Mus musculus: one gene and its partners. The protein of the gene in region 4 interacts with the protein of the main gene of each other region in a pairwise test. Links are inferred from orthologs where the notes say so. Each region holds a gene or a part of one and is shown on either strand. Other genes may lie near its edges.

What was found.
Region 1: the proteins of Mtus2 (region 4) and Rhpn1 interact in binary tests that used the Homo sapiens proteins (3 or more experiments, as listed by UniProt). The two-hybrid records come from large-scale screens. The link is inferred for Mus musculus from reciprocal best matches to the Homo sapiens genes MTUS2 and RHPN1.
Region 2: the proteins of Mtus2 (region 4) and ccdc198 interact in binary tests that used the Homo sapiens proteins (3 or more experiments, as listed by UniProt). The two-hybrid records come from large-scale screens. The link is inferred for Mus musculus from reciprocal best matches to the Homo sapiens genes MTUS2 and CCDC198.
Region 3: the proteins of Mtus2 (region 4) and Zmat2 interact in binary tests that used the Homo sapiens proteins (3 or more experiments, as listed by UniProt). The two-hybrid records come from large-scale screens. The link is inferred for Mus musculus from reciprocal best matches to the Homo sapiens genes MTUS2 and ZMAT2.
Region 5: the proteins of Mtus2 (region 4) and Spg21 interact in binary tests that used the Homo sapiens proteins (3 or more experiments, as listed by UniProt). The link is inferred for Mus musculus from reciprocal best matches to the Homo sapiens genes MTUS2 and SPG21.
Region 6: the proteins of Mtus2 (region 4) and Odf1 interact in binary tests that used the Homo sapiens proteins (3 or more experiments, as listed by UniProt). The two-hybrid records come from large-scale screens. The link is inferred for Mus musculus from reciprocal best matches to the Homo sapiens genes MTUS2 and ODF1.
Region 7: the proteins of Mtus2 (region 4) and Plscr4 interact in binary tests that used the Homo sapiens proteins (3 or more experiments, as listed by UniProt). The two-hybrid records come from large-scale screens. The link is inferred for Mus musculus from reciprocal best matches to the Homo sapiens genes MTUS2 and PLSCR4.

What each region holds. Positions count from the first base shown.
Region 1 is NC_000081.6:75,703,108-75,707,087, reverse strand, and holds the start of Rhpn1 (rhophilin-1), read right to left. Parts: upstream 2,801-3,980; 5' UTR 2,695-2,800; coding exon 2,614-2,694; intron 1-2,613. UniProt on the Homo sapiens protein: Has no enzymatic activity. May serve as a target for Rho, and interact with some cytoskeletal component upon Rho binding or relay a Rho signal to other molecules.
Region 2 is NC_000080.6:49,231,929-49,235,428, forward strand, and holds part of ccdc198 (uncharacterized protein CCDC198), read right to left. Parts: intron 2,637-3,500; coding exon 2,535-2,636; intron 1,044-2,534; coding exon 884-1,043; intron 1-883. UniProt on the Homo sapiens protein: May be involved in tuning the metabolism, energy expenditure, and excretion processes.
Region 3 is NC_000084.6:36,792,569-36,796,722, reverse strand, and holds the start of Zmat2 (zinc finger matrin-type protein 2), read right to left. Parts: upstream 2,801-4,154; 5' UTR 2,782-2,800; coding exon 2,764-2,781; intron 2,427-2,763; coding exon 2,333-2,426; intron 1,683-2,332; coding exon 1,559-1,682; intron 687-1,558; coding exon 613-686; intron 225-612; coding exon 79-224; intron 1-78. UniProt on the Homo sapiens protein: Involved in pre-mRNA splicing as a component of the spliceosome.
Region 4 is NC_000071.6:147,956,037-147,960,119, reverse strand, and holds the start of Mtus2 (microtubule-associated tumor suppressor candidate 2 homolog), read right to left. Parts: upstream 2,801-4,083; 5' UTR 2,399-2,800; exon of another isoform or gene 2,085-2,398; intron 1-2,084. UniProt on the Homo sapiens protein: Binds microtubules. Together with MAPRE1 may target the microtubule depolymerase KIF2C to the plus-end of microtubules. May regulate the dynamics of microtubules at their growing distal tip.
Region 5 is NC_000075.6:65,484,937-65,488,970, reverse strand, and holds the end of Spg21 (maspardin), read right to left. Parts: intron 2,139-4,034; coding exon 2,022-2,138; 3' UTR 501-2,021; downstream 1-500. UniProt on the Homo sapiens protein: May play a role as a negative regulatory factor in CD4-dependent T-cell activation.
Region 6 is NC_000081.6:38,218,044-38,222,002, reverse strand, and holds the start of Odf1 (outer dense fiber protein 1), read right to left. Parts: upstream 2,801-3,959; 5' UTR 2,574-2,800; coding exon 2,296-2,573; intron 1-2,295.
Region 7 is NC_000075.6:92,456,244-92,460,177, forward strand, and holds the start of Plscr4 (phospholipid scramblase 4), read left to right. Parts: upstream 1-1,134; 5' UTR 1,135-1,682; intron 1,683-3,934. UniProt on the Homo sapiens protein: Catalyzes metal ion-induced ATP-independent rapid bidirectional and non-specific movement of phospholipids (lipid scrambling or lipid flip-flop) between the inner and outer leaflet of the plasma membrane and participates in the redistribution of phospholipids between membrane leaflets.

The DNA of each region.
Region 1 (3,980 bases), on a different chromosome or scaffold from region 4:
TGTGACACAGTGAACAAGGCATTGGGTTCCAGTGTCCCTTTGGCAGCTCCAGTCAGATGAGAGCTCCTCCTGGGTAATGTGAGATCAGTGGCCTGCGTCATCTGTGATGTCCCCTCTCTCCAACTACAGGCTCGGCCACGGCCTACAGGGCTTCCTCCCAGAGCTGCCAAGGCGTGGGGAATTGGTGGTGCTGCACAAAGCCTGAGGTCCTCCAAGCCACGCAGCGCAGCATTTTTGCCCTGCCCAGGTTAACCCGCCGGTTTAAGACTTCGTGGTAAAGATTTTGCTGATGGCTCTTTTCCCTGGGGAACACCCTCACTAGTGATCACATATGAGGGAGGAGGTCACAGAAACTGAAAGGCTCTAGTCCAAGTGACACAGAGTGGGGTGTGTGTGTGTGTGTGTGTGTGTGTGTGTGTGTGTGTGTAAATCCTGGCAGAGCTGATCCTGGCCATGCATTCAAAGTGTGGCTTACTGTCATGCAAAGGACAGCCTCAGCATCTTGCATGGGTTAAAGCGACGCTTTCGCCTTGGCATGGATGGAGCTCCTGGAGGCAATCACTTAGACTGTGGCCCCAGGGTTACCATGAAGCCAGCTTTCATGTCACTGAAGAGCGCCCACAGAAGTGGCACCTGGGCTCACTCTGAAAGAAGGAGGCCATTAAGTCATCCTTGGGTGACTACAGATAGGTGACTCGCTTTCTGGATAGCTGGCACAAGATAGCATAGGGATAGAGTGGAGCCACATTGTACTGTCTCCTTCTCAGGACCCACCCCTGCCTGTGCAGGAGGGAAACTTGAGGCCACAACAGTCTCCTGTCTTCAAAGCTACTAAGAAAACGGCACACATCTTTTCCCCAAGACCCTACTACAAGGTTCTAAGCTTATTTATGGCCGATAGCCTCAGTCCCTCCCCCACCTGCTAGGGAGCTGCAGCAGCTAGCCACTCTGAGGTTTCACCAGCCCCAGACCCTGGGCCTGTTCTTGCCCTTTTTAACCTTGGTTCACTTATGGAGGCCAAGCCAGCTTCCTAACCTGTTTTGGTGGAAAGGCAAGATAAGCTGGGCTGGATGGATTCTGGAAGCTGATAGCCCACACCCAGTTTTCCACACTGGGCTGAAGGAAGTGCTCAGCAGGGAGGGCACAGGTGCTAAGTAACCATCTCTCTCTATCCCGGTATGATCTCCCCACCCTCTGGAAACAAAGGCCGTCTAACCATGGCTGACCTCCATGGTGGCTACTCTTGTCTAACTCTGGGAGAACTTGCCATCAGTACAGACATCGCAGCAGCAGTGGCCAAACCAGAACAGGGCCTGGCCACGACCAGGGAGGAAAGGCATGGGGGTCAGAGAAACAAAACCTCCCACTCAAAGACCCAGTGACCTGTACTGGGCTGGTCCTCAAGGATTAGCAAAAGGTGGGGGGCGGGGGGACACAGTTATCCCCACACAGGCCTGGGAATAGAAAGAAGGAACAGAGCAATCCTAAGCCTTCCCAGGCTTCTCTTACTGAGTCAGCTCAGGGTGGGGGAGTCCCACACTATCCACAGGGAGGCTGACCAATGCAACATGCACTTCCTCCACAGGGCACCTGAAAGGCATGGCCACCCTAGGAAGAAGAGTTCCTGGAGAACATGTTGCAGGCTGACTCCGTCTCCCTCCCTCCCTCCTTCCCTCTCTCCAATCTAACCCCTCCCCAGTTTGAGCTAGTCACTGTGGTATCAGGCATGCCTGGTTAGGATGGAGCCCTTGAGGGTTCTGTCCAAGTCCCAGTGCCTTCCTCTCTTCCTCTTCCTCTCCCTCTCCTCCCTCTCCTCCAGGAGACCTGATACACACACACACACACACACACACTGGATAGAATCAGCCAGCAACAAAGTACAATCTGACACCAGGAAGGAAGGTGGGCAAAGAGCCATGGGAACACCCGGGAGTGTTGTGACAGCAGCTTCTGCTTAGCAGCCCCTGGGGATGGGCAGGAGTACCCCAGAGCCTACACACATACTAAGAAACCCAAACACTCACTGACCCCTAGGAAATACCCAGACCGGAGAAGCAGAGAAGGTTAACATAATATCCCTTAGGCAAAGAGCAAACTAGTTTCCACTTCACCCCTGTGTTCCTGGAAGCCCAGGCACCCTCATCTCCAGACTCAGGAGCTTTGGAGGGGATGTATGTTGGGGAAAAGTAGTCAGGCTTCCCCGTGAAGTTCCGAAGGTTTTTGCTGTCTGCTGTCACAATCTAACCACTAATGGACACTGACTCCTACAGCGGGGCACGCAGAAGACACTGTTAGAGAAGGAGGCTTTCTAGACGTCAGAAAAAAACACGTGCTTGCTTGTGGAGGTGAGGGAGTGGGGGTTGTCACCCATCAGAACCAACTTCTTGGTTCTGAGACCCAAGGGGTTCTCTAGCTTCAGGGGAACCATCTAGACCGTGACTGCTCCAGTGTTACTCCCATCGGGCTGGAACACCGGCTCTGGTCTCTCCTTGGGACCTCAGTATCCCCACCTGGCATTCAGGGGAGCGGGTCCCAGGAAGGAAAGGCCGGGAAGGCCGCACTGCACAGCGCGGGGCAGGAGGCTGAAGACCCATATCCCTGCTCAGCCCCCACCTTGCGGATGCTGCCGTCGTCCTGCGGCCGAGAGCTTTCCTCGCCAGTGCCCTGGCCATCTGGCCTCTCCTCAAGGATCATCGCTGCTCGCTCGGACGCTGACTCCGAGAGGCTGCGAGCAGCAGGCCCCTCGCGCTCCAGGGAGGATCAGCCGCGCTGCTCCGACTGTCCCCCTCCTGGAGGGTCCGACTGACCGGTGCGGCAGAGCGCGGGCCCCGCCTGCAAAACTTGATGTTGTCCAATCAGAGGTGAGGGCTACTCCGATGGATAGAAACTACTACCAACCAGAGTGAGAGAAAGGCGGGCTCCAGGTAAGGGATCTGGTAACTCTTAGCAACCAGGGCCGCTCGCCGATCAGGGTACGCATGCGCAACGCTAGGTGTTAGGCGTGCGGAGAAAGTTAGGAAAAGACAAGCAGAACTGGGGGCGGCGACCAAGAGCCGCTGCAGCCTCTGCAGGGACTTCAAGGCTTTATCTCGTCACCCCGGCAACGGGACCCTCCAGGATTGCTCCAAAAATGTTTACAATGGGGTTTTTTAAACGGTTTGTTAGAGACAAGTGCTTGTGCTGATTCTAAAACAATGCCTGCTTTCTTCCCGGCACTAAGAGGCAAAGCGCCGCTGCGGTCCCCTTGCTTCCAGAACCGCCCCCAGAAACCTCGCCTCCGGGACCTGGTTATGCATTTTGTTTCCAGAGCCTACATTCTCCTTGACCTCCTTGTGCTTCCAGAACCGGATCGCCTTCCAGAACCCGAATTGGTTTTAAGAATTGGACTTTTTCCAGAACTCGAGCTCCTTGCAGGGCTTACTCCGAAGCACTTCTCAAATTCATGTGGGCTGGCTCACACTAGATGAGCTGAGAACACAGCCTAGAAATGAGTGGCTAGCCCTTTGTCAAGCTGCTCCAAAGGTCAGCCTCCTCCACGCTGCCCGCCACCCTGGTCACTGCTTGCCCTGACTGAGTCAGCGACTCAGTCTCTACGCCCCATCCCCCTCACACACACCTGGCTCTGTCATCCCCAGATCTAAATTTGCTCGGCTAAGCTCTTGGATGTCCCTGGACAGTGGGCCCCCGCCAGAAATGCTTCTCTCATCTGCCCCGCTAGCCTCTCCAAACTTCCTGGCATTTTTGATCCCAGGGCAGCATTGTCCCCTCCCCTCCCCTCCCCTCCCCTCCCCTCCCCTCCCCTCCCCTCCCCTCCCCTCCCCTCCCCTCCCCTCCCCTCCCCTCCCCTCCCCTCCTTTCTTTCCTTTTCTTTCCTCTAGTATCTTCCTGTGGAGTGTCACCTAATTTCACTTCTTCCTCCACTGACATCCTCATGAGCAGCCTCCTCCATCTCCGGGCTCTTATGCTGCCTAGGTGTGGTC
Region 2 (3,500 bases), on a different chromosome or scaffold from region 4:
TCATGAACTAGAACTTCAGAACATGGGACTGGGAATTTAGCTTTAGCCTAAGTGGCATGGATCATGAGGGCCTCCCCAGTAAAGATGGTGGCTGCAGCAGGAGCCAGTTGGAAAAGGCAGTGGTGCTAGACTCACTGTTGACATTCTTGGGGACCCAAGAAGGCTGAACTGCTTGGCCAAGGGTGCTTTGAGGGATAAGGGTCTGATAAGTATTTGTCCTGTGAGTACAGACGTCACGGATCTGTAAGAGCCTCCCCGTCTCTGGTAGTAAGATGATTCTATGAGCCTGTCTTAGGGTTTCAGGAGTGCCTTTGAAGCACTTAGCACCTACAAGAAGAGAGAAGCCTGAATGGAGAGCTTAAGCTTTTATCTTTTCCTCCCAGAGATGCAAAATACAATGCAATGTACACTCTCAGATGTCACATAGCCCCCCAGCAGTAGGTATTTGCTGTCCCCTAACTCTTCTTCCCCTGCCCATCATGGATGTTTATTTGATAAAGTTTAAAACATGCTTGCATCTCAGTGTGTAAAATATGGAGGTGGGGGCAGGGTGGGGGCTTGAGTTCAAGTTTGACCCTGTCTCAAAACAACACTAGGGAGCCAATGATGTAGCTAGGCTGGCAGACAATTTGCCTGCTATATATAGAGTCCTAGGTTTAACACCCAGCGTGGCATAAACAAGCCAGGGAGAGTGGTGCAATACAGTGCTTGGGAGGTGGAGACAGGAGGATCAGAATTCTGTTCAAGGTCATCTTTGACTACATAGTGAGCCTAGCCTGGACTACATGGAAATCTGTCTTAAAACAACTAAACTCCCAAAACAAAACAAAACAAAACAAAACAAAAACACCCCGTGAAATGTTTTACTAAAGAAATGGCTCACCTGGATCTCTGTTTATGTTTTCATTAGGCAGTATGGTGAGAATGTCATAGCCGTTGCTCCTTGGCTTGCTCTGGGCGATTTTATTGCCATTATGGTCCTTCAGCTTTTGCATATCAAGCATCGCCTTACTCAGAAGACTCTTCCTCAACTCCATTTGGGCCTGAAATGATCAACTAGAAGTGGTTAGTGTCCCCCTAAACCGTCTTCCCCTGCCTGAACAGGTTAGCATCTCAGCAACATCAAAGGTGGACAGTTCACAGACCTGAACACCCGTGAACACAGTGGAGTGGTTTTCTTCCTGGGAACTTTATTCTCAGGCTTGTTAGGAGACAAGTGAGCATGCTCACTGTCTCAGAGAGGCATGGCCAATGGAAAGAGGAAGCCTGCTGGCCTCTGTCTGTAGATGTGGTGTTTGGAATTACAGAGGATAGAACCACAGGATGCTTCCTTAGAGAGCGGCGTTTAGGGTAGGACACTTGCAGAGCTGTACTGGAGAACGTATTCCAGTGTGTCTTCCTAAAATCTAGATTGGAAACATATCCCTACCCCAATCCTTATGCTGGTTTGTAGGTGGCTCACTTTCAGGATAGAGGAAAACTACTGTCACAGGAGGAGGCTAGTTCTCCCTAGAAAGAGCTAGAAAGGCTGCTTGCCTGCCTTGGCTTGCTCTTGCCCCCTGACCCCTCACTCTCAAGAACATTGTCACCTTCTGCGTTCCTTGCTTGTGCTGTGTTGTATCATCAGTGTCTCAGTCTTAGCTCTTTCCGCCTCTGGATCGACGAGCAGTATCTCTATTGTCTTTGTCAATTAACACATTTTGGTATTCTCTTATAGCAGCAGAAAAGGAAACAGGGTTTCACTCCGTAGCTCAGGCTGTCCTGAAACTTTCTATGTAACCCAGGCTGGCCTAGACCTTGTGGCACTCCTCCTGCACAGCCCCACAAGCATGGGGTACAAGCATGCTCAGTACCAAGTGTTTCTCTATAGAAAATTCTGCAGCATGGATTACAGGGAGAGGCCTGTGTATCAGACTATACACTGACTTCTTTTCCCTCTCTAAGTAAACCAAGAAACTAGTATTATTGATTTACCTTATTTTCTGGCTGCAACCAGAGGGTCCAAGGCAGCTTGTTTTAAAAAAGAAGACATAAGCTAGGCTTTGTGATTCATATCTTTAATCCCAACAATGAGGAAGCAGGAGGCTATCTTGGCCTACAGAGTGAGTTCCAGGTCAGCCAGAACTATGTAATGAGACCTTATGTCAAAAACAAAACAAAGAGACAAAGACAAAGGGACACCCAAGGGACCAGTGAGATGGCTCAGTGATTAAGGGAGCTTGCTGCCAAGTCTGACAATCTGAGTTCGAGACCCAGAACCCATATGGTGGAAGAAAATAAAACCTACTACAAAAAGTTGGCCTCTGGCCCCCAGACACGCACTGTAGCACATGTGTGTGCCCTGTGCTCCCACAAAATAAGGAAATAAATGTTTAGAACATTAAAAGAGATCAAGGCTGGGAGCAAAGGTCATCTTCCTGTTTCTTCCAGTTTGGGCAGTGGCAGCTTCTGCTCCAGTGCCGAGTAGAGATTGGCCTTGGTGGGACAGTGATGGTGCCCTCCATATTTGGTAAATGCGACCCTCTTCTCATTACCTCTTGTCTTTTATGGTTCATCTCTAGCATTTTCATCTTATGCAAATATTGTCTTTTCCCAGAAGTGTACATAGGAAGTTGAATTTTCTTCTCATTTTCCTGCTGTGAAAGATGACATGTTTATTAGTTTGGGGTCATTGTTGTTGACTGCCACAATCTACAGCCTTCAATCCTTCTTGGAGCAGGAGATCTTAATCCATTGTAATCCATGGTGTTCTCCTGTCATGATAAAGCTATACTGGTGTGTGTCCCTGACAAGTCCTTTGTATAGCTGTCTGAATGAAGTGGCAATCTGCTGTGTATCTAGTTGTATTTTAAAGGTTCTTGCAGAGTGTTGAAAGCCTGAATGTAAGGCCTTGACAATTTCATTTTGATAATCTCACTTCGACAATGTACCATTTCTCCCCCAACAGATGCTTGTAATATCTCTCTAGAAGAGTGGCTGGGTTTGATGAGACCTTCCTTCCCTTTCTCTTCCTGTGTCTTCTACCATTGAATGGACAGCTGTGACGTGAGAAGAGCACCCCCTAGTGGCCCTGTGGAACTTATTTCTCTACAGTTTGTTTTCATATTCTAATATAAGTACAGGGAGCACAGCAGTTAAGGGAGGCTTTGAAATGACTACTGATGAGTCTGCTGCTCTCCCTTTAGTTTGTCATGAAATTCAGTGGCAGAGGTGGCTATTGAGGGTAAGCAGGGGTGAATGTATTTTCATTTGTCACCTACTGTTGCCCAGAGGTAAAGAACAGAACTGGCGACAACCCTTTGTGCTGCCCTGTGGACAGTGTGTTGCATGGTGCAGAAACATAGAGGGAGGCTGCCGCAGCTGCCAGCACGTTAAGCACGGACTTGAGGACCTGTAGCATGCGGGTGACCCTTAACCTCACCCAGCAGTGACTGGCTGGCTCCGGAATGAGTCAGGACAAGGTTTGAAAAGGACCCCTACAAACAGCTTTCGTTTTTTTA
Region 3 (4,154 bases), on a different chromosome or scaffold from region 4:
GTGAGCGGAGGAAGAGGGCCACCCTCGGTCCACAAGGAAAACACTCCAAGCTGGGGAGCAGGGTTAGCAGAGCCTCACCTCTTCTCTGAGCTCCTTCATCCTTTCCTCAAAATCATAATCTTTCTGCTTCTCTTCCATCTTCTTCTTGTTCACCTCAAAACGCTTCTTTACCTGATCCAGAGTGGAGCGTTCCACGCGCATGGACATACCCAGGTTTCGCTGATCTGGGTGAGGTTAACAACGGAGACAAGTCATTATAACATCCTCAGCCACCCCCCCCCCCCCCGGGAAAGTCTCGCCCTGGCTTTTTTAGGTTTGTTTACTTGTTTACCTTTTCATAATAAAGTACACAACAAAAATAACTATGGCTAAAAGAAGCTCTCAGCCTCACCTGCTCCTATTTACTGGGCAGATTATCATCAAGGCCAGCCAACGTCCTCCTCTGGCCTCTGTGGTCATGCACAGGTAGCACACAGCCAGGGATACTCAGAAGCAAGCAAGCAAACAAACGAACAAACGAAAGGCCCCAGAAAACCACTCTACCACACCTGCCCTCCAGCACACCTTTAAAACCCAACCCAGCTCCAGCCACCAACTACCTCCATGCCTTACGTTTCTTTCCATTAATGTGGTCCAGGAAGTTAATGGAGTCTTTCACCACACAGTCACAGACATTGCAGTAGTAGCTGACAAATGGGAAGAAACAGCACATGGGTCAATCTGGTTTCTAAGGATCTTACTGTTTTCAGGAAAGAAACTCAAATCTCTAGGTAAAATTAGATGATGTCTAATTAATGTCTCAATTAACAAAACAGACAAACTTCACATGACTTGCTTTAGGGAAAGTCCCTCTTTACACTTCATTGTGAATGACCTTACAAGCAGGCCCAGAGAATAAACTTGAGCCTCCGAACCACAGGCACGGGAGGGCCTGGAAGAGGACCTTCTAACTTTATTTAAGCCCCAACGAATGCAAACCTAGTCAATTCCACAACTGCGGCTTTATTAGAGACCCAGGTCCAGAACCTCCAAGGTGACCACCCCTCAATTCCTTGCCCACAGAAACTATGAGCTATTATTATGTTATGCTGCTAACTATTTAATGTACACAGCAAAGGAATCACAACAGTGGATTGCTATCTGTCTGAGTCTCCTGATGTAAGTTGTAACTTTGACAGACTTTAAGGAATGGTGGCAAAGGGTGACAAGGTCCGTGAAACTCTTCGATAGGTCACAATCTTGGTGCACAAAAACTATAGTTAACAGCTCCACCTAAAACCCACCCCGAGCCTTCAGGTCTTCTAACAGACTATATAGCCCCCCTGAAGATATCAGGGAAGTATTACAGTACCAATAGGAAGAAGCCCAGAGAACCACCCCTCCTAGAAATAGGACCGAGTGGGCTACAAACTTCAGGGGACAAAGAAAGACAAAGAATCAGGTTATGGTCAGAACGGTGGCCATCCCTGGGCCCAGGATTCTCCTCAACACTTCCTAAAAACCAATACAGTTTATTAGGCCAGCTGTGGTATTAAGAGTCGGACAGGAAGCAACTCACCCTCCCATTTCAGACTGTGGGGTCGTCTTGGTGATAACAATCGTCTTCCCCAGCTTGGACTCCAGGTCCACCTTGTAATCCCTGTGCCGCAGAAGCTCCCGCTTGACAGGCTGCACTGGTTTCCCTGAAAGGAAAAAGATTATGAACCCCAAAATTCAGAAGACTACTCATGCTTTTTTTTTTTTTCTTTTTAATTCCTCAAAGAACGGACACAACAGGTACTTTATGTAGCAATTCAAAGAGGCTAGGAAAGACTCTAATTGGCCTGGACTTATATAGACATAGGCCTGGTCACTATGTGGACCAAGCTGGCCTCAGACTTGCAATGGTACTGCCAACTCTCAAGAGCTTTTCTCCCTTTAAAGCCAGCAAATGTAAACAGTGTTTCCTATGTGTTGTCTAGTTGAACTGAGGAGTTCTGAATTTTTCCTGGAGGTGACCCTTTCAAAAGAGGGGTACTCACACCGAGTAGCGTATGTTCAATGTTTTCATGCAGTTACATCTGGAATCAACTAAGACCCAAGCAGCTGGACACGCTTGTTTGGGAGGTTTTGATTTGATTTGATTTGGAATATGGGCTACGCCTAGGGGAAGCTCACGTAAAAAGGAGAGGAAAAAGCTTTAGGGCTTTTGTTTTGTTCTGTTTTGTTTTGTTTTGTTTTGTTTGCCTCGTTAACTGCAAGTGATTTATCTATCCTGTTGCTGAGGCATTCCTTCTCTAGCCACAGCATCATCTCTACCGTCCCCTTATCCCTTCGTGGAGCGAGCACCCACCATCCTTCTTCTCTCTCTCCTCTGTGAGTCTCTTCTCCGCGAGCTTCTCATATTCATCTTTGTCCCACTTTCGGCGAAAGTCCAAGTTTTTTGTCTGTAGGGGGGGAAAAGGTGCTCAAGATACGTAGCTGTGCCTGTTGCCCTGGAGAAACTAAGGGAACCGCCTAACGGCCACCGGGGCGGCCCCAGGACCTTTCGGAAGAGAAGTCTCTCTGGAACGCCCAGGGGTCTGGTGGACTCGGGACCCCCAACCCGAGAGACTTCCGAGATTCCACTGTCCCTGCGCCAAGGCCTTACGGGGGAGCTCTCGAACCTGAACCCTGAGATCGCGAAGAGGTGTCAGGAAGTCAGTCAAATCTCACAGCCTGTCTCTATTTAGCTCTGAAAAGCCATCCCCCAGACCCCTCAAACCTCGTCACACCAACACCTACCCCGCTGCCAGACGCCATCTTCACAGCGAAGTGAATGGGAAGCCGTAAAGTGCAGTAAAACGCGCCCTGGAGCCAGAAGGCAAGATCACGCTCCAATAAGATCCGAGCCTCTCATTCTGACTGCGTTAGGACTGGAGCGATTCTAAGGCAGTCCTGTTGGCCCCGCCCTCTGCTCCAGGGAGATGGCGCAGGCGCAAAGGGAGTGTGAAGCTACACGGAAGTAAGGGCACGGGCCAACGTTTTTCTCTCTGGCTTTAAAAACAAGCCCAGAAGAATAGCTCATCTCTTCTATTATGCAAAGAATCAGAGTTTTGAAAATAGTGCTCCATGATCTAACCAACTTTACCTGATTTCTAGGGGTTTCTTTGTTTTGTTTTGTTTTTTACCGGATTTCTAGTTTTGGTTGTTTTGGTTTTTTTTTTTTTTTTAAAGACAGGTTCTCAGGTAGCCAAAACTGAACTCTAATTGGCTATATAGTCTCTAATCTTGAACTTCTGATCTCTCCTGCCTCTACTTCCCAAGTGCTGAATTTATGGGGCATGTACCACCACGACCGGTTCATGTGGTCCTAGAGGCTTCATTCATGCTATCAAGCTCAATTCTACCAATTGAGCTAGGTTCCCTGCTAGGCAATTTCCTGCCTAGCAAACCTCTTCCACAAACAACATATTTTAAGCACTCGTTAGAGTGGCGAATGCTTCATTCTAGGGTGTTGGCTGATTCTGTTTTCAAGATTAAATTGTACTGTATAAATGAAATGAGTTTAGATGTTCTCCAGACATCAAAATGAGTTTAACCAAAAAGTAGCACTAATTTTTTTGGCGGCGCAGGGGTGGTGGTGGGGGTCAGGGGTAGTAGTGGTGGAGGGGACAATGTAAAACTACTTGTCTTCTGTGCATAATTTAGAGCCACATTCATAGTACATGCTGGTGAATGGGGCATCTACAGTCACAAGTGTTTTAGTCTTTAAAATACGGTTTGCTAGGCAAATTAGAGTTCAGTTTTGGCCTGAACTTATTGCCACCACTTTCTAAGAGGGATTACAGGGATTATAGGTGTGGTATGTTTGTAGACAAGGTCTCACTATTTGGCCCTGGCTGGCCTGAAAATCTCTTTGTAGAGATTCCTTGGTATATTACTAGAGTCACAGGACCTCTGCCCTTCTGTGTTCCCCTAAAGACCTCCCTCTTTGAGGCTGCGTTCCCCAAATTCCCCCTGCATCTTACCCTCTTCATCTATCCAACCTGCTGTCTAAACATTAAACCCCTCTTATGTCCTGCTAGTTTTAATCTTTACTCTTATTCAAGTGACCCTACACTCAAGAGATTCCCCTGCCTCTGCCCTACCACTTCACTGCTGAGATTAAATGTATGTAGCGTCAGGCAAAGGGT
Region 4 (4,083 bases):
GCCTCCCAAAGTAAGTCCAGGTGAGGGACCAGAAGGCCAAGATTCCCAGCCTCTTTGTATAGCCAGCATGGAAAGGGCTGCAGTAGTTTCAGCCAGCATTCAGGTCTCTAGAAAATTGTTAAACCTAACAGTTTTCTATTCCAGCCATCCTCCTGACACAGTTCTTATCTCCCGTTCACAAACGACCATCCCTGCTGCTCCCTCTAATTTGGCAGCAGCTATTCATTATAAAGCCGTGTGTGTGTGTGTGTGTGTGTGTGTGTGTGTGTGTGTGTGTGTCTGTGTGTCTGTGTGTGTGTGTCTGTGTGTGTGTCTGTGTGTGTGTGTCTGTGTGTGTGTGTGTGTTTGTGTGTGTGTGTGTGTGTCTGTGTGTGTGTGTGTGTGTGTGTGTGTGTCTGTGTGTCTGTGTGTCTGTGTGTGTGTGTCTGTGTGTGTGTCTGTGTGTGTGTGTCTGTGTGTGTGTGTGTTTGTGTGTGTGTGTGTGTGTCTGTGTGTGTGTGTCTGTGTGTGTGTGTGTCTGTGTGTGTGTGTGTGTTTGTGTGTGTCTGTGTGTGTGTGTGTGTGTCTGTGTGTGTGTGTGTGTGTGTCTGTGTGTGTGTGTCTGTGTGTGTGTGTGTGTTTGTGTGTGTCTGTGTGTGTGTGTGTCTGTGTGTGTGTGTGTCTGTGTGTGTGTGTGTCTGTGTGTGTGTGTGTCTGTGTGTGTGTGTGTGTGTGTGTTGTGTGCATCCCACATGAGCCTAGGTTTTTATACATTCTCCCTCACGATTTCAGCTCTGACAGCCTAGTTCCATGTCAATTATGTAATAGCCAAAGCAGGGAGTTTAACCGAGTACCAAAAGCACCGTCGTGGCTCTTACATAAGCTCCCATAAAGCCTCTGTAAGCCCGCCCCAAGCTGTGGAAATGTGGACTTATAAAAGATGCCAGCTTTCCCTCTGTCCTTAAAATTACCAAAAAGGCTTTTGTGCACCTGATTGACTGATTGCACTCCTATATAGTATATGAAAACATCCATTCAGTGAGAAAAATAATCCTTGGTGAAACAATTTTTTAAAAAAAAAATCATGCAAACAAAAAGAAGGCACTCCCTCTCCCCAAAACTACTGAACTTTCAGGGTTTCCTCTGCACAATGCACTATACCCCAACTAAGACTCCCATGGGTACCCTCTGTGGTACTAAGGACCCCCGGTACACACAGCTTTTCTTTGCAAGGAAAACAAGCAGGAAAATCACTTAGATGAAAAAGACCCGGGCTAAAATCTTTAGCTTCTCTCCAGTCAAACACAAGTTTCTCTCCCTATATGTCACACGCCTGGCTGGGGTACCTCGAACCCACCGAGCCCCACCTTATGCTGCTGGAGACTAAACGAAGCACGAAACGATGCCCACCAACAGTCACAACCCTGACTCCACATGAGCCACACACATAACAAATGCCATCACCAGAAACCAGTAAGAACAAGATGCGTATCTGATGTTTTCCACTCTCATCTTTGTACCTGAAAAATTACGGTACGTGTGAGCAGAGATCTTTAATAACTGTCAACACACGATTAGCTATGTCCACGTGACAGCAAAATACAACTACCTAACAACTTAAAAGCCAAAACGGCTATGTGACAGGGATCTATTTCTTTAAGTCACTTCCCACCTATTTATTGTCAGAGACGTCCCACTGGTTTTCATAACAGACTTAAAAAAAAAAAAAAAGCCTGTTTTGTGTCTTAACGCTTGAGAGTCTACGGTATGAATTTTTCTTTTGAAAGGACCTCCTGTCGCCTTTAAATGATACCAAAACCATCTCATGCTTATCCTGAAGGAAAGTTTTGAGCTAAGACAGAAATTATGGCTCTGACTTCCTGCGCTCTTACGTTCTCTGGTAACCGCTCCTAACTTTACCAACCAGCAAATATTCCTGTGAAGCACTTACATAACAAAAGAGTGCAGGCGCCTCTGGCACGCCGCCAAGCGTACTTCTCTGGGTGTTTGTATTTAAAATAGAACGGTAGTAACATCACTTGCAAGCCTTTCCCTGCACAGACTCAGAATGAAGGGGGTTGAAAAATGGATGGAGCAAGCCTTACCATTCTAGGGCTCCAAGGAAATAACACATCGGTGCTAAATTAAGACGAAGACACGGACCGAATTATCCCGAGCTGGGGGTGGAGAGGGGTGGGAGCTCGCTTAGGCTAACCCGCTGTCGCCTCTGAAACACCGTGCTCAACCTGACATCCCCGGAAGGTGCGAGTGGGTTGCAGCCTCTCTCCGGCGGAGCAGAAGATGTGGGCAGCGGGGAGCGGGCTCTCTGATGCCAGAGAAGCCAGCAAAAGGCACCGCCTCCGCCCCGCTCTGCACCTGTCTCCAGCCGGATCGGGACGCGCGGACAGCAGTCGCTCACCTGGGTCTGGAGGAGCCAAGAAGGATGTGCAGAGAGACCAGAGCAGCCTCCGGGAGCATCCCGGGCCGGGCTACCTCCGCACGCAGCTCCTTCGCAGCTGGAGTTTGCAACGCGCCCACGCGTCCAGACTCCTGACCCACCCGGGTCTTCTGCAACTTGACAGAGCGCGGGCTGAGGTGGCGCAGGTGGCGAGCTTAGGGCACCGGGGTACCTGGGGCCGTGGCCGCAGCCAGCCCTCCGCCCGCGCACTTCACCACTGGGCACCGCCCAAGCCGCCGGGCTCTGATCACAGGGATGGCCCGGGCTGAGGACGCCTCGCCGGACAAAGACGCCGCTCCCGCCCACCCTCCAGTGAGGTGCCGTCCGCGGTGACAGAAGCCGGGCTGCAGCGGCCCGAGGCGCGCACCCCCTCCCGGCCGCCCGGAGATGCTCGCGAGCCCCGGCGCCTCCTCTCGTCCGGAGCCCCGTGGGGGGAGCCGAGCGCCCTCTGCTGGCCCGACACGACCCGGCAGCTCACGGGACCACAGTGGTCCGGAGCATCCAGCCTCAGACCCCAGAGAAAGGAGAAGCAGCCTGAGGTCGCTGACCTAGACTCCTGACTCCCACGAGTGGGATGTGCTGTGGTCCAATCGGAAGAGAGAGCCTCTTTTAATTGCGTGCAGCAGGAAGAATTGGGGTCCAGCGGGTGAACTCGCAAGGGATGTAGCGGGGCTGATGGACAGGAGACTAAAGAAGTCTCTGTAAGGGTTTTGTGTGTGATTGTGTGCGGGTTTGGCGGGGGTGGGGGTGGGGGAGTTGGGGTGTTTGAGGCAGGATCTCACTTGAGACTCACAGATATCCTCTTGCCTCTGCCTCCAAATCTAGGGGTAATGCATAGCCGGCTACCCACTTGAAAGACTCTTGTCTCAACGCAAGCTTGTCTGCTTCGTAGTTCACAACGTTCCTCAGAAGTAAACATGAACGCAGGACTTCTCAGTAGCCCTTCCAGGTCGCCTGAAAGCAGCGCACCTGGGAAGCCTGAAGACAGCCGGGGGGCTTCTCCAGCCTCTGGCTCACAAGATTTGGGACAGACTGACAGAGAAGACAATGAGATGCTGGCTTACTGATGTGCTTGCTCGCTTTCTCTTGGGGGTCGGGAGTGTGGGGAAAATGGGCTCCCTCCCCCACCCCAGCATTGCTGTGCCGAGCAACATTTTATACCAGCTGAATTTTTGTACTAACTGGTCTATATTGTGAAGGGAAATCATGAAAGAGCACTTTTCACACGGCTGTCTTTTTACATTATTCTATGTGGCCTCCCATTTCTTCTGGAGGAATCTAGGGCACGTTTTATCGCTTTTCCTGTCACCTTCGGGTGTTAACAAGCGGTCTGACTGGCTGTTATTACAAAGTCCAGTCCAATCTAAATCAAACTTTAAGCTCATTTCATTTAAGCCTTCGCCCCTCCCTTCCCCTAACTCACAAACCCCAGCCTGACTTAAACCTAGAAAGATAGTAAAGCCTCCTTTGTGCCATTCACTTTCCTATTTGGGTGCTCTGTGAAGCCCATGCCTCCCAGGTGCAAGGAATGAGGTCCTGGCGCTACAGCTCCTTCCTCGGGCCACTCCCACTCCTCCAGGGACTCATCCCACCCCCACCCCCATCCCACAGGCAGACCTGACCATCTTCCACCACATCGGCTGACA
Region 5 (4,034 bases), on a different chromosome or scaffold from region 4:
CCAAGAGTCTTGGTTTCTATTTAAGGAGGGGGGGGGCGGTGTTCCTTATGGATCTGGAACTCACAGTGTGGACCAGGCTGGCCTCATGGTCACAGACACCTTCCTGCTTCTGCTGTGCTAACGATTAAAGGTATGCACTACCATGCCAGCTTATTTAGAATTTACTATGTGTGTATGACCATGGGCATGTACATGTGTCAGCACACACATGCAAGGCAGAGGACAATGTGTAGACATGGTTCTCTTCTTCCACTGTGGTTTCTGGGGGTTGAAGACAGGTTATCAGGCTGGTGTGACAAGGGCTTTTACCTGCTGAACCATCTTGCTGGCCCAAGATTTTTGTTTTTTATGGTTATAGTTAAGATATTAATTTTTTCTAGCTTTATGTCAATAATTTCCCATAAGTGTTAATTTTTTCAAAATGTTAATTATAGCTTTCTATATGTGTGTATATTGTATAAATTTTCTACTATGTGAACTGAATAAAACCCCTTACATATACAGATATTTCAACCTTTATTATCAAATAACCTCTTTGTTACTGTATAGATACCTGTATACAGATGGGTGTATATATCTGTGTATGTGTGGGCAGATGCCAGAGAATGGATGCCCTGCAGCTAGTGTTGAGGTTACAGGCTGTGTGGATACTCTTGACACTGTGCACGGGCACTGGGCTATCTGAGGTTACAGGCTATGTGGACACTCTTGACACTGTGCACGGGCACTGGGCTATCTGAGGTTACAGGCTGCCTGGACACTCTTGACACTGTGCACGGGCACTGGGCTATCTGAGGTTACAGGCTGCCTGGACACTCTTGACACTGTGCACGAGCACTGGGCTATCTGAGGTTACAGGCTGCCTAGACACTCTTGACTCTGTGCACGGGCACTGGGCTATCTGAGGTTACAGGCTGCCTGGACACTCTTGACACTGTGCACGGGCACTGGGCGGTCTCAAGTGCTCATGCTCGTCCAGCACGCACTTTTACTCACAGACTCATCTCCCCAGCGTCTCAAGTATCCTATCATATCTCTTGAAAGGACACATGGAAATGCTTTATAGCCATCCAGGATAGGAAGGGATGTAGAAAAGTGCGGGAGGGAGACAAGGCTATCCACAGGCTGGACGTTTTCTACATTGGATCAAGAGCTGGAGACAGTTTACTATGTTCTCCATATGTATTAAAACCACTTCTATCGGGCATCTGGTGATCTTTCAGGATAACATCTGTAATCCTAGCACTTGGGAGGTGGAGGCAGGGGGATCAGGAGCTCTAAGCTAGCCCTGACACATAATGAGTTCAAGGCCAGCCTAGCCTAAATGAGACTCTATCTCTTTTTTAACAATCCCATTAGTGAAAAAGATTAAAAGAGCACGTAGGCTACAGCGGCAGTCAGCAGGTAACAGCCAGCCGTGCTGCAGTCAGAGTGATGGACTTGTTCACCCGACATCACACAGCACTGGCCAGTAGCCCAGAGGGGCAGCCTCACTCATCACAGAAGCCACTGGCTGAAATTCAATTTTTATTCCAAATGTAATGTCTAGAAATACAACAGCTAATACTCAAAATGATGTGCTCAACTGGAAAGCAAAAAAGCTGATGTGTAGGGAGTGGCCAGCAGGCTGCCAGCCTCGACCCTCTGGTTATGCCCAAGAAAGCATAAAAATGACCGGTGCTCCTCTTCTAACCTGGAGGTGGGTGCAGCAGTTATAGAAAGCAGGAAAAGAGAGAACGCCACATGATCCCAAGCTTTTGAGATGAACAGAGTGGAGAAGACTTTTGGTAGCAAAATTTTCACAATTCTTAAAATGGGAGTCTTTAAAAGTTCTTCAAATTTAAAAGTTTAAAACAAAAACAAATGTGGAGAGGGGCCAGTCACACTGGTTTAGAAGAGCTGACGCCTGTCATGAGATTGACAATCAGTCCGACTTCCAGAAGGGTGAGGACCAGTGTGCCCGACCAACGAACCCGAACTGATTGTGCAAGAGCAGGGTGGTTCGGCATCTCAAGCCCCATCTATGGCTCTTCCTGGCTGAGGCCGAGGCGGCCTTTCTGCACCTCTAGCTCCTCCGCACTGACCACTGACGGATCGATGGCAGCGTACTTGGTTCCATGGAACTGCAGCAGATGTATCTGGAAGAGTGCAGATTACTTTAGCTGTTGTGAGGGTTTTGTTTTATGCTGCTGGGATTGAAGCGAGGGCTTCGCAGTGCTATACAAAGGCTCCACCAATGGGCGACCCCTATCTCTAGTCCTGAATCTTTCTGAGATTATGTGGAGGGCAGAGAGCAACATCAGTGTCACTCTTTAGGGGGCCCCTGTCCCCCTTTTTAAAAATTTACTTATTTAGGTACTTTATGTATGAGTGCTGTTTTCTTGTTCACCAGAACAGGGCACCATGTGGTTGCTGGGAATTGAACTCAGGACCTCTTAAGAACAACCAGTATTCTGAGCTGCTGAGTCATCTTTCTAGCCCCTGAGGGCTCCTTTAAGAAATTACAATTTACTTTGTATATGTGTGGAAGTCAGAGAAACTGTGGGAGATGACTGTCTCTTCCTCTGTATTTTTCTGGCACTGAACTGGGTAGTCGGGCTTGGTGACAGTTTTTACTCACTGAACCACCATTGGCCGTCCACCTGTCTTCTGAGATAGTCCCTCAGTGGCAGCAAGCTTGGTAAGTAGGAGAGGCTGCTGGCTGGTTGGTCCCAGGGTCTGCCTGTTTGTCCCTCCCCCGGGGCTGTGCCACCACACCCACTTTTTTAAACCTGGATTGTGTGGACTGAGCTCAGGCCCTCCTTGTCACATGGCAACCACTTTACCACCGAATCTCCCCAACCCAATGCCTTCATTTTGCAATAACTGTATTACAGAGCAGAAGGTGTAGCATGCTATTAACAAGCGTGTTGGGAGAACAAAGTTTTCCTAAAACTGCACACTCGAGAAAAGCCAGCAAAGAAACGAGTATGGGTTTCACGATGTAGGTCAGATTGGCCTTGAACTTACAGCAATCCTGTGTCAGCCTCAGAGTGCTATGAAGTATTCATCACTGTGCTGACCAAAGAATTGGTGGGACCACTACCACTGACCTCAAATTGTTTTGTGTTCTTAAGCAGTGTCTCCTGCCAAATCTTCATGGATATCACTCCCCACCCCCATAACTCCCATGTTTTGTGTATATGTGCATGTGTGGGCTCAAGTATGCAAGGTTGATCACTCTCCATCTTAATCATTGAGGAAGGCAGGTAGCAATTAAATCCAAAGCTCTCTAATATGGCCGATCCTTTTTAAAAAACTGTATACAGGGGATTTGCCTACACATCATCTTTAATCACAGTATGCAGTGTCCTTAGAGGCCTGAAGAGGACGCTAGATCCCCTGGATCTAGAATTTCATTTGTGAGCTTCCAAGTGGGAGCTGGGAATTGAACCTAGGTCCTCTGGAAGAGCAACCAGTGCTCTTAACTGCTGAGCAGTTTCTCCGGCCCCTGATATGGTTAGTCTTGATAGCCAGCTTCTTTCAGGAATGCCCAGACTCCACCTTCCCGGGCTGGAAGCTCCTGCAGGCTCCCGTGCTCAGCAGGCAGTTATGCGACTTTGGGATCTAAACTACAGTTCTCATATTAGTATGCCATAGATCCATCACTGCTGGCCCTTAATACACCTCTCTTTTCTTTTTAAAAGTTTTATTGAGTGTTTTGTTCATGTGTGCCTGGTGCCTGTAGAGGTTGAAGGTGTTGGATCTCTTGGAATTGGGGTTTCAGATGGTTGTGAGCCACTGTGTTTGTGTTGGGAATCAAACCTACATCCTGTGTAAGAGCAGCCCGTGCTTTTAGTCACTAAGCCACCTTGGCAGCCAGCCCTTCATACACATCTTACCCAGCGCGATGCTGCTCTACCAGTGGACGTTCTATGTGAGGTCTTTCCAGTCTCCTGCTACTGTGGCTAATGGCATGGTGGGCATTCCTGGGCATCGGTTTCTCTATGTTAGGACTGCCTCCTTAGGATCTCCTTCCACAAGTAGCGGAGAGC
Region 6 (3,959 bases), on a different chromosome or scaffold from region 4:
ACTGGTTGTGTGGCTTCATGAGAGAAAACAGATTCTACCCTCTCCATCCCTTTGAATCCAAAAGTAAGGGAAAAGTCAAGCGACTGCTGGAGCTTGCAGCTGCAAAGGTAAGAAGAAAAGGAGAAAACTGAAGCAGCTAAGGAAACAGAAGAGCTAAGTCTGGCACCACTAAGGAAGACTCAGGCTTAGCTTTTTGAAGCAGCTACTTAAGCAAAATGCTAGTGGGTCGGACTTTTTAATCCGAGTCTAAAGAAGCCCAGTGTGCACACATATCAATCAGTCAAACCACAGACACTCGTGGAGGGGATTTAAAATTTGTTACTAAAGTCTGGGCAACACTTGAAAAGACCAGTGCCCAGACATTCTTTAAAGGAATGAAAGGTCATAAAGATAGGAATTTGAAACTCAGAAAGCCTTGAGTACAGTTTCATTCTAAAGATGGTGTTAAAAAAAAAAAAAACCTGAATGGAGATTATTTCTAGATCTATTCAGTCATGTGTCAGATGCTAGATTAAAGATAAGAAAAAAAGAAAGCATTTAATTGAAAGAAAAAATTAGTCATGAGTCCTTTGGGATTAGAGCTCAGATCTGGGCTTAGCATTTTCCTATTCAGGAAAACTAAAGCTGTAGTTTTACACATGACACTGAGCCCTTTCAGACAGTGACAGTGTCAGGCTGTTGGCAATAGAGTGCAGACACTTGGTAAGGTGGTATGAATTGGAAGAAAAGTGCTGGGGGAGAGATAAAGAGCAGGCAGGTCTGAGATTCGCAGATGCAGAAATTAAGGACACTGTTCGCCTCACACACTAAGGCTGGGACTGAGGAGACCTAGACACTACCAGGAAAGGTGCCACAGACCAGAGACAGCAGTGCTCTTTCTGAACTTATATGGGAATAAGGCATGAAGTCGAGTCTACTGTGGCCTTGTGGCAGGAGGCAGGAGGATACAGACAGAGAGAAAAACATCTTCCCTGCGAAGTGGAGAAGTGGGAGGCACCAGGTGACCATGTTAGAATTTAGAGCCACGGAGAGAGGACACAGACCCGCTCCCAAAGACACTTAATATTTGAACCAAGTATTAATTGTTATTTCACAATGTAAGTTAGATAAACTTGACATCCTAAGGAGTAAAAATAAACATTGGTTCAAAATATAGATAAATTCGTAGGTGACTATTCCATTCCAGACTGTCAGGTAGGTCTGATCCTGACCCTTAGTGACATCGTCAGTAATTGTCCCATTATCCTTCTCAGTGAAACATCACTGTTGTCAAGGGACTTTGCCCATCAACCCTCTCACCCAATAATTCTTCCATTCATCCATCTATCTGCCTGGCCATCCTCCCATCCATCGAATTTGTGTCTGGCTTATCTGCTGCTGATCTTTTCATTGAACATATCATACATAAAAACTTTCCAACTTTTCAATCCCCTTTTAAAACCTTTTGAGACAGTCTCACAGAGCACAAGCTGGCCTCAGACTCATTCTGTATCAGAACCTGTGAGCCTCCTGCCTCCACCTCAGAGTCGGCTACTACACTCAGTTCTTTAATCCACTGGATGGGTGTACAGTCATTTATATAACCAGGGGACAATGCCCACTTCCACCATTTCTCCCCTGTATACAGACTGTATATGTTAAAGTGAGGAAAGGATAGGAAAAGAAACTAAAGAAATATTACCCTCCCCCCAATTATATTATCCAATTCCATTGAGATCCCAATCTACTATGCTGGCTGCAACCTGTGATGTCGCAAATCCCTTCTGAGGTTGGAGGGGAGGCCAGCACAGCAGCCCTAGCTATAGATCAACTCTGCCTGAGACTCGGTGGGAGAACGATTCCCACACACTGGGGAAACGCCTCCAGTGTTCAGCCTCTGCTGTGGAGGCTTCTGGCCCACAGTAAGGATTTGACTGATTTTGACTTTCTTCTCCTGCAGTCATTTCTGCAAGCCCAAATACACTCAGATCACCTCAGTCATTCCCAGATTTGTTGAGTTTGCTGTTTCCAACAGCTTTTTAATGACACCCCTATTTTACCTTCATTAAGGCTACCCTATTTACCACACTGCCCCTCTAGACCTCTCTATTCCCACTGCTGGCCCACCTACCCTTCTCTTCTTAAGCCTCTCCTGGTCACCCTGAGTCACTATCTAGATCCCTTTTCACATCCATTCATCTGTCACTTTCCCCATGTCCCCGCCTCTTCCCACCGATGTGGCAGCTACACTGATTCTCAGGTCACACCCTCTCCCTTGGCCAACACTCTTTCTTATCAATGGCGCAGATTGCTTTCCTCTCTAAACTGCGGAGCGATGGGCGAAGGCAGTACAGCTTGTAGTCACACAGGCAGCACGGGTAGTAGAGGTCACACAGGCCACAGGAGCGGGATCGCTTGGAGTAGCAGAGGCAGTAGGGATAGGGATGCAGGTCGCAGCAGCAGTACGGGTGCATGTATAAGTCACACAGGCAGCGGGAGCTGATTTCGTCGATACATCTCAATTGTCTTAATTCTCTGTCCACCTTCTTTATGTCCCTCCTAACACTGTCCAAAAGACAACTCAGTGCGGCCATTATGGTCACACCTTATTGTTCTGTGAGTACCTTTGGGAAATGGCACTCAGAGGAAAAAATTGTTCTAAGCTCTTCTCAGAGGCCTCCTTTAAAATTAAATGAGCCACACATGATTCACTTACTTTAAAGCTTGTGTTCTGTGACCTCACCCACCCTTTAAGTATGTCATAGTCTCTTGGTTACCATGCCAACCACAAACAGTTATGGTCCCCTGAGACCCTCCTCAGGGTTTCTCCCAGGAAGGTATTCCTACCAAGAGCTCGCTCACCCTGGGTGCTGGTGGACCTTGAGGGCTTCCCTTTAGTGTCCTTGACTTGTAGGAGTTAAGACAGTCATGGCTGTCATTGTGGAAAGGGCAGGAGCCACTTGGCTCTAGTCTCTGTGTCCCCATTAAAGGCCTGAGCCTCGTTGTAAGATTCTTTTTGGCTGTTGGCCCTTCTTTCCCACCAAGTCAGTCTCAAGTCTGCCTTTGTCATTGGCTTTCTCAGTCGCACATCTCTGAGTCCCACCCATTATTATTATTATTTCCTGGTGCCAGGGATCAAACCCAGGGTCTCATACATCACAGACAACTGCCCGTCCTCTACCAGCTAGGGTTCTAGCTAGCCAGGAACATCAGTTCTCCACTAGCTGGAGCCCAGAAGCTCTTGGCTTCTACTGCTCAGGGTTTCTGTCTACAGTCATCGCCCCACAACAAGGACCTGAGGTCTTGTTTCTAAGCCTCCAAGTGTCCCCGAGTGGCCCTAAACATTGGTCCCTGACCCTCTTCCACTCTCCGGAACCTTTTGCTTCAGCCATGCCCCATTCTCTAACATGGATCAACCTCTAAGACTGCAAACTCACCTCAGATTTGACTTGTACTTCTTAATCTGCTTCTATCTCTCAAACCTCTAGTCCCTTCTTCCTAGACTAAGTCCTAGGGAGGACACATGAGGACAAATGGATGCGACACCAGAGAGGCAACTAAGAGCTGGGCTTGAAGGCCACAGTTAGGGGTTTGACCTTTTATTTTCATTTCAATAAAGGATCATCGATTATCCCTCCTCCCCTATTGATAAGTGTTAAATGTGGGCCAGACCCAGTGAAGAGGCAAGGAGGGTCCAGGCTGGCGGTCACAGCTCAAGGGAGCATAAAAGGGAAGCTGGCAAGATGGTTCAGAGATAAGAGCTTTTGTGCTCTTACAGAGGAGGGCTGGATACTCAATCCTGATGAGGTGGTTCACAGCCACTGTAACTCCAGTTCCACTGTAACATCAGATCCATGGACAGGGATCTGATACCCTCTTTTGACCACCACAGGCCCCAAGCACGAACATCTTGCACATACATACATGCAGGCAACACACACATAAGATAAATCAAAACTTAAAAAGCAAAGAAACCAATG
Region 7 (3,934 bases), on a different chromosome or scaffold from region 4:
CCAGCACTCGGGAGGCAGAGGCAGGCAGATTTCTAAGTTCCAGGCCAGCCTGGTCTACAGAGTGAGTTCCAGGACAGCCAAAGCTACACAGAGAAACCCTGTCTCGAAAAAAAAAAAAAAAAAAAAAAAAAAAACCAAACAAACAAAGAAAGAAAGAAATCACACACATGGGACACTATAAATGCTGCCTTTTTTTTTTTAATCTAAGTTTTGTCAAAACCCAAGTAACTGATGGCTGACCCAAATGCCATATTCTGTATAGTTTTACAGCTTGTGCGTTTGTGAACATTACAGTAAAAACACAGGATTGAGGAAATGGAACCTGGGGAAACTTTAATTTTACTGAACTGCTCCATTACTGACATTAAGACTGTTGTAAACACAACACAAAACACCTCTCCCTCCCCAAGAGTGTCAAAGAGACAGAGGCACGTTGCAGTAGGGATTCATAAAGAAAGTGTGTATCAGCCCCCACCCCCAAACCCTCAGGAATTCAGGCTGGACACCTGCTCTGGAAATGCAAAAGCCCATGAATTCTGCGGTGGCTCATGGCTCCTGAGTGCCTATGTGGTTGGCTCATAGCTCCTGAGTGCCTATGTGGTTGCTCTCATATATTTGATTTGTCTTCCAAGCAATGCTTCACAGACATGATTTTTTAAAATTTTATTTTAATTAGGTATTTTCTTCATTTACATTTCCAATGCTATCCCAAAAGTCCCCCATATATCCCCCCACCCACTCCCACTTCTTGGCCCTGCCGTTCCCCTGTACTGAGGCATATAAAATTTGCAAGACCAATGGGCCTCTCTTTCCACAGACATGTTTTGATCTTGAATGCTTTTGGTATCTCTCATGAGGCCAATCTAGATATTCACACTCACAAGCTCAATTTCTTGGTCCCTCTAACAAACTCAAACCATTACATCTCGCTAAGACTTTGATGTCAGTTTGTTTGTTTCATGCTTTCAATAAAAGGCTGTATTTCTTCATTTGAGAAGTATTCTTGGCAGATATTACCGACCAGAACATTATTAATTGTTAAATCTATTCTGACAAATCATGTGCGAGGGAAAATGGAAAATTCCAGAACTCCACCCCCATGTAAACTCCTCCCAGAGCGCAGCCTGCAAGGCCAAGTTCTCGGCAGCTTCTTCAGGTCAGGCTGTGCCCAGTTGTGGTTCTGAGTGAGGTCAAAGGACATTTGGTTCGTCCACTTCCTTCAGCTAACTGTACCGGACCGAACCACTTTAATTTGATAAAACTATGTGTGCCTGACAGCAGCAATTAACCAAGTAACCAAAGTCCTCTTTAGAGAGTCAGAAATCTTGAGCCTGCTTCTACCCCCACCAGCACCCCAGTCCTAGTCCCTCTCCCTCCCAGATCAAACTGGTCTCCTCCAGGGATGGGAATGAGAGCCGAGCAGTGAGGCTGGTAGACCAGCTGCTTCCCGCCACCAGCAGAGGAGCGGTTCGGAGCTCAACCCCGCGGGCTTCGCTGGCGCCCACAACTTGTTTACCCTGCGTTTGGCTAGGGTTCAGGACGCCGGCGCCCCACCCTGCAGGAAGCCCTCCCGGGAAGGCTCCCCCGGCTGCCCCGCGTGGATCGTCCCAGCTCCTCGGCGCCTCTCGCCTTCCCCCAGGCAGGACAGCGAGCTCAGCCGGCGACGCCTGCAGCTGCGGGCGGTGAGAGGGGCCAGCGGGGAGCGGGGGACCCTGGGAGATTAGGGGGATGCGGGATGGAGGGCGCGGGCTCCGTGACAGTGGAGGAGGCGGGGCAGCTCAGCCGCAGGTGGTTGCGCAACTTTCGCTTTGTGGAGCGGGGTGGGGTTTCTTGTGTTGGGGTCCGCTTGGTTTCCCCCGGCTCTTGATAGGACAATGGGGTGCTGGGTGAAGGCTCTATGGGAGCATCATTCGGCCCTGGTGACATGAACTCTCGAGGGTGCAGGCCCTTCCCAGGAGACCCTCTCCACACTTTTCCCTCTTGCACCAGTGGAGCCTGTCCCCTCCTTGCAGCTCTGTGGGTCTCTCCTAGGGCCTTGGGCATAGATGTTTTCAGATAACTTTGCAAGGTTTTACTGGCAGGGGCTAAAAGATAGAGACAAGTTTTTGTTTGTTTGTTTGTTTGTGTCCCCCCCCCCCATTACTTTACAGAGTACAATATTAGCCTTTTAGGACTTAGAATTTTATATCTTATATTGTGTGGATGTACCCACTTTTAAGAACCGCAGTATGTTTGCGCTTTTATTTTGTCTATAGTAGTTTAAGTGGAGCCAGCAAGAGTAACAGAAGTATATTATGAAGACATTATGCAGTAAGGTTGATTTCCAAGATACTTCTGGGATACAGATGTTACTGCAGAAGTAAACACACAACCTCCACCTTCCAGCTCCTTGTTATGGGAAATAAGGAAGCAAGGCATTATGTAACCCTTAAAGTAGCCACACTGTCACATTGTATGGCCCAATGACATCACCAGAACAGAGGACACAAAGATGGCACATTATGCATAATTTAAGTGCCTAGGGACAATAACAAAGTTAATAAGCATTCCAGTTGCATCACACTTTGTAAGTCTTTTGAGGCTCAACTACAGGAAAGTACAGTGAAAACACACTTTAGTATAAATAACAGAAAAATGACAAATTTATTTAAACTATGAATTGTGGATAAAAATATGAATATGAAACTCCAAGTATTAAAATTATGCTACACATGAGACCCCAATAAAATTTATTTTCTTAGGTGAAAATATCATGTCCCTTAAATAATACATAATTAAACAGAATCGTAACTCATTCATAGTTTTAAACTGGCTCTTTAGCTAGACTATTTGAAAGAATTGCCACACTGCAATTTAAATGAAATACATGGCAGCTTGTTTTATATTAAAAAAAAAAGGGGGTATTCTAAAGAATGAACAGACAGTAGAATGATCCCAGACATTACAATAAAACTGAAGAAAGAGATTTAAGGATAAAATAAAAATGGGTATTTAATAAACATACATTTTAAGTCAGTAAAAGGGGACTGGCAAATAACATTTAAATTGATTATAATTGGAGCACTCGGCATTTATTTGGGTAAACTAATAATAAAACTGTTATTATAGTTAATATAAAGTGTGTTAACATAAAATGTAGTCAGGATGGATAATTTGAATCCAGATGCATAAAACCCAAAGGTTTGTGAACATGAGAAATGGGAAACATCTGCAAAACCTGGGCCCATTAAGAACTTATTTGTGAGCATAAGTACATAAAAATCAGACATGAATGAGGGGTTGTTAGAAAAAAGAAAGGTAATTCAACCACAGCTGGAACAGGTGATTGTCAGTAGCAGTCAGATGAGCAAAAAAAGTTAGGCAATTAAAATACCATGCTAACTTTTACTAGACCTGATGTTGAATATCTAATCATTTTGTTGTTGCTGACACAGCAAGAGCAATGTACACGTGCAAACTTCAAGGAGAAATATGAGTTGGCGAAACATATCATAAAGAGAGAGCTGAGAATAGTTGTATTCATTATTTTTCTTTTGCAATTCGTTCTGTAAAAATACGTGCCCAAGAAAAAATTAAAATCTGTCAAAGTCTTCCTTAAAGATGCTCATGGTAGCATTCTCTGTAATGGAGCAGGCTTTGAAACTGTTTGGAAATCATCTGCTAGGATTTAGTTGTTTAATTTGATGCATCAGGAGATAGAAGATACCTACTCCTAAACTTTAGGAAAGAGTAAATGTTCTAACATGTGAGTATGGTAAAGTGCTAGGTAAAATACTAACAGTAACTACAGGCACACCACAGGGTATGCACACAGTTACAGCATGTACGTATGTATGTACATATGTATGTATGTATGTATGCTGCAGCCTTTGAGACATTCGGAAGACAGAATGAATTATTGTTACTTTGAGTGTTTATATATTCTTGCATATTT